Linked DNA regions of Caenorhabditis elegans. The protein of the gene in region 1 interacts with the protein of each later gene in a pairwise test. Each region holds a gene or a part of one and is shown on either strand. Other genes may lie near its edges.

Region 1 (6,648 bases):
GCGAAAATCGAGAATCTCGACAACAATCTGAAACTCGATAGATTGTTCCTTGGCGCTAATCAGATTCGTCTTATTGAAAATGTTGATCATTTGAAGAAGCTCACAGTTCTCAGTCTTCCAGCCAATGCGATTACTGTAGTTGATGTATAGTTATTTCTTCTTTCTAAATACCACTTATAAAACAAAATTTCAGAACATTTCGGGACTTCACAACTTGAAAGAGATTTATCTGGCTCAAAATGGCATCAAGTACGTTTGTGGAATCGATGAGCATCTTCCTCTTGAAATTCTGGATTTCAATCAGAATCGTCTTGAGAAGGTCGAGAATATCCATCAATTGAAGACACTTACAGACTTTTGGGCAAGAGGAAATAAGGTAATATAGATCATTTGATTACATTCCATAACTAATCAATTCTTTGTTAATTTTAGTTGGATAACTGGAGCATTATGGATGAATTGGTTGAACTTCCACAACTCAATAGTGTTTACCTCGATTTCAATCCAATTGCATCAGTGGATACTTATCGTGGAAAGGTTATTCATCTCTTGCAACAAATTACTCGTCTTGATGGAACTCAGTGCCGTGAGGTAATTTAAAACTTAATTAAATTAATCTTCAATTTGTTTTTTAATTTCAGCATTCGATGCTCCGTCCACCAAAAGAAGAGAAGAATGAGACAGAGCTTTCGCGTGTTGTACTTGATAATCCGTCTGATGATCATCCCACTGAGTCCGTCTAATACTTGAACTTTAGCATTTATTCAACTAGATGAAGATTTCTTGATTATTGATATTTTATTAAACAAGGAAGCCGGAAATAAATAAAATAAAAGAGGGAGCGATTTTGAATCGGGGGTTGTTGAAGCTAAAACTTAATAGGGTAATACTGGTAATAGAGAATAAGGGGAAGTGTCCCAACCAATGGTGTATTTCATCAACGGAAGTGAATATCGTGGTGGAAAATTGAATGAATTGAAATCAGACGTGTCAAAAAGTCAAATTAGTTTGATGATTTTTACTTTTTCAGCTCGTCGAGGGCCTTTTGAAGTACGTCGAAAAGAACTGATGGCTTCTGGAAGTCGTTGTCGACGAGAGTAACCAAACGGAACTCATCATGAACAGCCTTGATGACTCCATATGATTTAGATTCTTTTGGATAAAAATCTCCCCTAAAATTAAACAATTAGACAGAACGAGTGATTAGATACCTTACCATTGGGCCATCCACATTTGGTAAGCTTCATCTCTCCATGCGCGGAAAGAGAGTGGATCGACGACTGTTGGCTGGGCAATCTCAGATCCTGGGAATACTCCCCAAGTAACTGCAATCGGAGTGGTTTCTTCGCTGTTGGTCTTGTCGAAGGTACTCTGAAGAAGAATTTATTTTATGGTTTTTAAAATTACTTTTTAAACATACATCCTTATTGATGGCATGGTAGTTAACTCTGACTGGGAATTCTCTCTCGATGATTTGAATGAGCTTGTCGGACAACTCCGCGGTCATGAAGCATTCGAGGTATGCCTTTTGGTAGCAGTAACCTCCTGGTTTTCCCCACCCAACAAGTGGATCAGTGGATGGAGCTCCATTAACTGATGGCTGACTGTTGACGGTCAGAATTCCATTCTCATTACACCAAACAAGTTGTTCACTGATCAATGAAGTTTCTGGCTGAACACCAGTTTCAGCTTCTGTCCATGGAAGTACAGTAACCTTGACGCCATCGGCGTTTGGAGCTTGAGTAATGTAGTTGATGAACACGCGCTTGACGTCTTCAAAACTCTCGATGTTGGCTCCGAACATAGCTAGACGGTCATCGGCGTTTCGAACAGTCTGAAATTTTATCTGTGAGAAAGTTCTAACACAATCTTTGAACGAACCGTCAAATTAGACAAGTAGTAGCTGCTGACATCTCCAAATGCTGGCGATGAACTGTTTCCCCATCTTCCGTTAGGGAATTGATCCCAATCACGAGTTCTGGTGATGTAACTGCGTGGGCGGAAACTCCAGTAAATTGGACGAACACTTTCCAGACATCTGATAGGATGTTGCGAACGATTTTTCCATGGGAAAACACGATCACCCTCGAGTTTCCAGAGACCAAGAGATTTGAGAATTTCACGAATACTTCCTTCACGATTCATAGTGTATAGATGGATGGAAGGGGCAGTTCCATTGTCAAGAAGACGGCGGCACATTTCAATGCAACGCTCTGTTCCGTACTTTTGAACAGCATCATCATCGTGCTTGATTGGTTCGAGATCATCAAGAATATGTTGTGGAATCTCAAGTTGTGAGAGTTTGGCAATACGTTTGATAGACTCATAACCCATAATTGGCATGATTCCCGGAATAATTGGCTGAGTGATTCCAATTTCACGGCAGTCGCGCACAAACTTTTCGAAAGTTTCAGCCTCAAAGAATAATTGAGTAATGACGAAGTTTGCTCCAGCATCACATTTTGCCTTCAAGTACATAAGATCAGCTTTGTAAGACGGAGCTTGTGGATGTCCAAGAGGATATCCTGCGCAACCAATTGAGAAGTAGTTTCCATATTCTTCGCGGATCCAGCGGATCATATCAAGTGCACGGAATTGATGGGTATCTTCGAGCTCAGTCTAAAATTGAAAAATATTATTTAATTTTTTGACAATCTTGTTTCATGATTAACTTACGCCCGGTGGGAGATCTCCTCTCAAAGCAAGAATACTTCTCAATCCCATTGCCTTGGCTTGCTCGAGATGTTTCAAAGTATCAGCTTTATTGTATTGAACACAAGTCATATGCAACATAGTGTCGACTCCACAATAATCAAGCATTGAAGCAGCAATCGAAGACGATGAAGTCACTTTATCGACGTTAGCTGGATCACTTCCCATATGCCATGTCATATCGACAAAGACGGATCCACCTTCGGAAAGACGTTCAACACGCTCTAAGAAGTTTGGAACTCCATTGACAAATCGAGGTGGGAAGAATTCAAGAGAGAAGAATTGTTGTTTCTCATCGATAAGACGTTCAATTCTCTCGTGAAGAAGTTCATAATGCCTGAAATATAAATTTGTTTAGTAATAGCTTTATATCTGATCAAAACTTACTTTGGTGACCAGCTCTTTCCAGATTCCAGAGTTATCTTCTCCTCGACAACCGCATTCTCATCGGTCTCAACACCACTGAAATTCAAAATATTATATTATTCGATCAAAAAACCTGAATCAACAACCCACTTTTTACTTAAAACGGCCATTTCAACTAGAGTCTCCGAGGAAACAAAATTTGTTAGCGACAAATGAAGAAATGTGGCAAACAGGATTCTAAGGGCGGAGTGTTATATATCTTCTCCAGAATCATCATGTGATTCGATATGAATCTCGGGAGAGATCTAGGAACGTAACAATTATGATTTGGACAACTTGTTCTTTGATACTGACACAGTAGGAAAGTACTTTTTTTCAAATTTTTCAGAACTTCGGAAAACAAAAAGCTGATGTTGAACTAATACAGTGCTACATCGAAATAATAATTCACTATCATCAATGATATATTAGCTTTTTCTTGTTTGAAATTTCGGATCGAATAAATTATTTCCCTGTATTTTTCCTTGGAAATTTCTTGCTTGGTGTCTTTTGTTCCACTTAATAGAGAGATACTGATCAAATTGTCTCCTAGAAGGCAAGAAAACACGGTTAGATTTAAATTTGATAGATCAGTATTCGATCTTTTCCGAGTGCAGAGAGAATAATGTGTCGCAGAGGACTAACAAACTTTTTTCTGATAATAGACACGTTTTGTACTCTGCCGTGTTCACCTTCATTGATAAGATATTGTGGGGTGATAAGAGATGAAATCATTAGCAACGATAAGTAATTACTATGTTTCTAAAAGTCAATTAGCTCATTTTTGAAAAAAATACTATTTGTGATTCAAAAGGTTGCAACTTGCAAATATTTTGGACAATTCTAGTATATAAATGCACCATGTTTCTCCGACATTTTTCGTTAAAAATTAGTTTTAAAATATAGGAAATCAATCGATTTAGCTGTAAATATAGTTTACTTCGGATGATAATTTTGAAAAAGTGCTTAAAAATTACTTGGAAGTTGCAAATTGCCGATTGTCGAATTATCAAGCTTTGTTTTTCGGTAATTGGCAACTTTCAGGTCATTTTCTGCATTTTCTCATATGTTTCTTTTTTTTTAACTAAACATTCTAACTTTAGCCATAATCAGCGTGCTTTTTTTTTGAAAATTTCAAGTTCTTGAAATTGAACAGAAATTGTATTTTTTTTTTGAAAGGTTTTCACTCTCAACAATATAAAAATGCCCAAATCACGTGAATATCAATGGTATCCAACAGTTGACACTGATAAGAGATCAGTTTGTGATCGCAGTGGGACAAATGGGTGGTAGACATGTCTTCTGATAAGATAGAGGTCAAGTAGGTAGAATTGGTAGAAAGGAGGCATATTTCAGTGCTTTTTTTAAAAGCATTTTGAGACATAAAAAGATGCTCTAAGTTTAGAAGATTAATATAAAGAACCTACCAATATGGCATTGTGGACAGAGAATCGATCTTCTTAATGGTTCCATGAGATTCAATAACTTTAGTTTCTCCAGTATTCGTCATTTTCCTTGGTTCGTTTTAACCGTAGTTATTCTCTGTCGGGAACCACGAATCCGTTGTTTGATGAGATTCACCGACTGAAATTTGCTCGTATTAAGTCCGATTCTTTTATACAATCAGAGAAAAGGGCGGAGCGTTAAGGTGGCAAACGGTTGGTAAATTGGAAAAAAGAGAAGTCATAGAACTATCAATGTCCGCTAAATGTTCTTAATCTAAGCAAAAATGACAAGAAAATGAGAAACAAACGTGCTTCTGGCATAAAACCACTTGTTTTGTTCAATATTTATATAGAAGGAACATAGCATGCTGGGTCTCTCGTTCTCTCACTAAAGCGTTCGTCGTGGCACTCAGTGCACTTTTGCATACATGAAGCAATACACATTCTCAGCGGGGCGCCGATTCCTTCATAGAAATCGGATTCTTACAAAAGACAAAAAAGATAAATCGAAACATTTTTTGAAAATAGCGGTATTTGAAGCAGAAAAAGTGAGTGGGGAAGTCTTTTAATTTGATAACAAATGAGTATTAACAATATTTTGGTGCATGATGACCTGTGAACGATTTGGTTGGGTTGTTATCGGGGCAACAACAATAATGTTTTGCCAAAAATTTGCCAAATAGTTCAACGTGGAACTTCTCTTTGTTTGTCTTATGCAGTGATGTTTATATGGAGATGCCAGTGCCATGTTGTACGGTACCTGACACGATTAAAAATATGTCAACAAAAACAAGTGTACGCCTTTAAAGAGTACAGTAGTTTCAGCAGTTTGCTGATTTCTTAGTTTTTTATCGTTTCCTGTTTTTTAAGCTTCAATTTTTAATAAACAGTGAGTGTGAAAACTAAGAAAAATTGAACAACGGTACTCCTTAAAACCGCACTCCTCTCCTTTCACTGAAAATTATTGGCCGTTTCGAGACCGGGTACCGTAATTTTTAAACAGCGAAATTTAGCATTTAGGTATTTGCTCTATTATTCAACTTTGAAAATTCTGTTGTTTTCTCAAAACAAAATTTTTTTTTTGTAGTTTTTATAACATATTAAATATTTTCTGATATCTGCAGTCATATAAGTTATTTGGTGCAAGAGTAACTGAGAAAATACGGATGCGTTCTAGAAAAAAAGGATAAGTAAGAAAGTCGTAGATAGTTACTATTTGATAGTATCTCAAGAAAGAATGGGAAACTAAGCAAGACCTTGAACTAATCGTCATTTGAAGAGAACTTTAGCATAGTACGTTTTCAAACGAAAACCACAATTTCTCAATACTGCCTTCCCATCACAAACGAAAATTTTATCCTATAGGATTAAAACCAATTTTCAGTAGAACTACAACAAGATTCTGAAAAGTGCACTCAATGCTTTCACGAATGGGCTACAGCACAAGATGATAACTGTATGAAATAATCATGTAATGCACGATATCAGGCCATTTCAATTGGTCTTTTGCGGCGATTTATCACTGGTGATAATTGGAAGTTGGACAGATAAAAGTATAAGATTGAAAAGATTGAACCAACAGAGATTAATAAAATAACAAAAGTCGGAGATGATAGGCAACTCAGCAGCAAATTTAATTTAATTTTCAAAAAAAAAATTCATGTAGTATAATTTTCATTAAAAAAAATGGTTAGCAAGGAAAATGAAATGATTATGTTTCTTCGTCTTCAATAACTTCCAGCTTAATTTGACTTGTCAACTTTTTCAAATGTTTATCCGTAGCCTCGACTTGTCCATGCCATGCGTGCAGTTTGTTGGCCCATTCATCACTGATTCGAGGTTTCACTTCAACTACGCTGGCCGATTTTCTGTTCTTCTTGTTCGCAGGCGATGTGAATGATTCGTCACTGAATAATTTAATAATTTTTAATTGAAGAAAAAAACAAAAATCTTCACTTACATTTGGGAAGCAGTTATCGGAGCAGAAGTTTGTGGGATTTGTTCTCGTTTCACTTCAACCAATTTCGCATTTGCACGTTTTGGTGCCCGAATTCTTGCAACTCCCGATGTTCCCTGCTTGCCTACT
Region 2 (3,685 bases), on another chromosome or scaffold:
TTGCCAACTTTGCTTTTAGAAGACCCAAATGGTATTCAGTGGCTTTATTCTTTTGGGTTCTTGAAATTTCATGTTCGATTTCTGCAATTTTCTCCAGAATACCCATCTGTAAAATATCAGCTTTTAAACAATTAATTTCAAACTTTCAGAGATAAACACTGGTTAAGAACCGTTTTCAGATAATAGAACTAACTTGAATTTTAGAAAAAATAAATTCATTTAAGGTGGTTCAGAAGAAAAACGTATAAAGCACTTATGTGGTAATGGTGATCACGATTGTAAAAGATCAAAGTGAACAAAAATTATACAACAATGGGGGTACAGTAAAAGCTACTGAGATCGTAAAGTTATAATTATGACGTAGTATGATACTTATTTTTTCCTCTTCTCGAACAAAGCTTCAAGTGTTGGCAATGGTGCATTTGGCATCTCAGCAGCCAAATCTGGCAACGATTCGAATGTTTTTTCAACCTGAAATTCAATTCAAGTCTGCAAAAACTGATTTTCTAGTTTTCAAACCTCTAACAAATCTGCCTTGATTCGATCTTCTCTACGCTTAACTTCTCTGCACAATTTCTCGTGATGTTCAATGCTCATTCTAACATTTTCTATAAGCATATTCAAGTTCGATTCGAGAGTTTCGCGTTCATTTGTCTCGTTTTTCAGCCTGAAAGCATAAGTTAATGTACAAAATCAATTCACAAAAGTTTCAATCAAACCTTTTAACATATTCCTCCAGCATCGGAAGAGCTTCTTCATTTTGGACCAACAGAGACTGTGCTTCTTGCGAACTTCGAACTGACTGCAACTTTTCTGGGCACGAAATATTATCCGGATATTTTGAAAGTTCTGTGCGAATTTCTCTTTCCGTGCTCGGCGGGTTTTGAAGGCGCTTCAAACTGAGCAAAACATCTTGTGCATTCTTTTTCGCTTCTTCAACGACGAACTGACTAGGTTGAGCGACCTTAAGCTCATTTTGGCATTCTTTTGGAATTTATTAAATTCACACACCTTTCCATGTTCCTTGTTCGCAACTGCGGGTGTTGGGAAGCTTCCAGATAGCTTAACTTGTTGATGAACTTCATGAAGCCGTTTGCATTGTGATGGAGTGAATATCTGACGATCTTTCCATACATTGATCAGTTTACCAATTGCATGTTCCACTTCTTTTGCATTTTTCAACTCGATTGCATGCCTGAAATTAATTTTGAGATTAGACGTTTGAAAATGCCAATACCTGAAAGAACTTTCTATTGCGGGAAAAAATTCGTCCTTGAATTGTGGGCAAGTCTTTCTCGCATTTTGGCTTACATCATTCGCCACATAAAGAAGATTTACAATTTTTGAGCCGTGTGTTTCTTTCTTTACTGTCTGAAATACAACACTAAAAAATGATACAATATGAATAAAATACCTTTAGCCAAACTCGAATGATCAATTCCCGATTGCTATGATTTTGCAAAAGCCAGGCAGAAGTCGTCTGAATTGAGGAAGGGTGGTTTGATAAATTTGTTAACTTCTGTCGCAAAGTTTGCTCTGTGAAATCTGCCATCTGAAATATCAATTATTGAAAAAAAGAAATCACAAAAATTTTAATCAGAAATGTAGATAAAGCGATGAATTGTCCTCAAAAATACCTTGGAAAAATGAATTTTCATTCAAAAAAGAGAGGAAAACGCGTTTCAATAAATTTCAGCAAAGTGTCGTATAGTTCGATGTGCGATGTGCATTTGAACGCGCAGAAAACTGCGGACTAAACATTGTAAATGACGATGTCTCTCATTGTCAGCATTTCCTGTTATGTTGAATTCTCAAATTTCGAGCATTTGTTTTCTGTATTAATTGAATTTTGTCATATTGAATATTTATATTGTTTCAACTAAATAAGTATACGCCTTTTTCAGATGACAAGCTTCACTGGAATCACGGCTGTCGCCAACGCCACCAATGAAATGGCAATGTTCAAGCAGGCAATGAAGGAAGTTGCAGCTCATCCAGAGTGGATGAGTTCCAGACAAATTGAGCGTCAACGCTGGAACCCGTATTCAATGGAGGGAGGATCAACCTGTGCCATTTCTGGGGAGAACTTTGCCATCGTGGCAAGTGATACTAGAATGACCCAAAACGACATCAACATTCTTACACGTGACGCAGAGAAGATTCAAATTTTGTAAGCCAGTATTTGTCTTTGTTTTAATAATAATTCTTAATTCAGGAATGATAACATCATCCTCACCACCTCTGGATTCTATGGAGATGTCCTCCAATTGAAGAAAGTTCTCCAATCTCGTCTCCACAAGTACCGCTTCGATTATCGCTCTGACATGTCTGTGGATCTTTGCGCAGAACTTCTCTCCCGCAACCTCTATTACCGTCGGTTCTTCCCATACTACACTGGAGCTATTCTTGCCGGAATTGACGAGCACGGAAAAGGGGCCGTGTTCAGTTACGACCCAATCGGATGTATCGAGCGTCTTGGATACTCAGCCAGTGGAGCCGCTGAACCAATGATCATTCCATTCTTGGATTGTCAAATCGGGCACGTTACGCTCTCTGAAGGATATGAGCGTCCGGAACTCACATTGGACAGAGCCATCTCATTGATGAAGGTATAATTGAATTTCGTAATTTTAACCTAATTCATTTATTTTTTCTAGGATTCGTTCCGTGGTGCTGCTGAGCGTGAAATCTCTACTGGAGACAAAATTCACTTGGTCATCGCTGAAGCCGGAAAGCCAGTCGTCGTAAAGTTCCTGCCACTTCGTGAGGATTAATTATTGCAGTATCTATCTCATTTTATTTTAACTTATTCGTATCCTCTTCCCCTCTGAAATTGTTTTACCATCCCGGTAATCTGATAAATATTCCTCCACTTATATGTTGTAGTCTACAACATGACTACATTTCGGCGTCCAACGCAAACTACAAAATAGAGAGAAAAATGCAGAGAGCGAAAACACACAGGGCAAGAACGCACGAGTGAGACACAAGATATAATGCAAAAGAAGGAGTGAGTCGGCGCTGCTTAGAACCGTCTGCGTTTCGAGTCTCTTACTTTGTGGTCTGCCCAGCTGTGTCATTGATTCATTCCTGCTTTGCAACTCGACAAGTTGGTATTTACTGAAAAATGTCAACTTATATTCAAGTTAACATCTACAATCAAACTTTGGAAGTTCTCAAAATGCGAGGACTCGATTTGCAATCTATTTTGGTAGGTCAAGCTTTTGGCAACATTTAGCTTCTAATTATATAAATATTCCCGAGATTAGAAAAACTTGAGTAATAATTATTTTGGCAATAAAAATAATATGACAGGTTATTCTTTATGTAATGGTCGATCAAAAATCATAAATACTGTATTTTATAAAATTGTAATTTTGGAATGATATTACTGTAGGAAACAACTCTAAATTAGGAATAGTACTTTTAAGCTAATGTGTTTACAAAATCCCCAGTGGCTCAAACTACTTACTCACTTTGATGTTCCACAAACTGAACTAATCAAAGCACCAAGGCACTACAATTGCCTAGAAAAGCGAAAACACGTTAAAATTTCAAATTGTTTATAAATTTTGAGTCAACTTTTTGGTAAATTGCATTTAATGAAACCTCCAAATAAAATATATTTAAAGAAAACGATTGGTTGTCCGGATTCGTGGGTGACAGAAGTTCCAATTCATCCTCC

What was found.
Region 2: the proteins of mthf-1 (region 1) and pbs-6 interact in a two-hybrid assay, tested with the Caenorhabditis elegans proteins (3 studies listed by BioGRID).

The regions. Positions count from the first base shown.
Region 1 is NC_003280.10:7,773,123-7,779,770, forward strand, and holds mthf-1 (putative methylenetetrahydrofolate reductase (NADPH)), read right to left. Parts: upstream 4,702-6,648; 5' UTR 4,628-4,701; coding exon 4,545-4,627; intron 3,384-4,544; exon of another isoform or gene 3,249-3,383; coding exon of another isoform or gene 3,229-3,248; intron 3,175-3,228; coding exon 3,100-3,174; intron 3,050-3,099; coding exon 2,677-3,049; intron 2,620-2,676; coding exon 1,882-2,619; intron 1,835-1,881; coding exon 1,421-1,834; intron 1,372-1,420; coding exon 1,217-1,371; intron 1,173-1,216; coding exon 1,019-1,172; 3' UTR 786-1,018; downstream 1-785. Other genes in the region: C06A8.6 (U2A'/phosphoprotein 32 family A C-terminal domain-containing protein), read left to right, coding at 1-144, 194-376, 433-591, 642-743; snpc-1.1 (snRNA-activating protein complex subunit 1), read right to left, coding at 6,274-6,469, 6,523-6,648.
Region 2 is NC_003281.10:8,242,312-8,245,996, reverse strand, and holds pbs-6 (Proteasome subunit beta type-1), read left to right. Parts: upstream 1-1,904; coding exon 1,905-2,170; intron 2,171-2,215; coding exon 2,216-2,609; intron 2,610-2,657; coding exon 2,658-2,774; 3' UTR 2,775-2,875; downstream 2,876-3,685. Other genes in the region: putative GTP-binding protein C02F5.3, read right to left, coding at 1-106; cids-1 (CID domain-containing protein 1), read right to left, coding at 373-471, 520-667, 720-964, 1,012-1,195, 1,238-1,371, 1,415-1,552; Putative zinc finger protein C02F5.12, read left to right, coding at 3,128-3,211, 3,633-3,685. UniProt on the Caenorhabditis elegans protein: Non-catalytic component of the proteasome, a multicatalytic proteinase complex which is characterized by its ability to cleave peptides with Arg, Phe, Tyr, Leu, and Glu adjacent to the leaving group at neutral or slightly basic pH.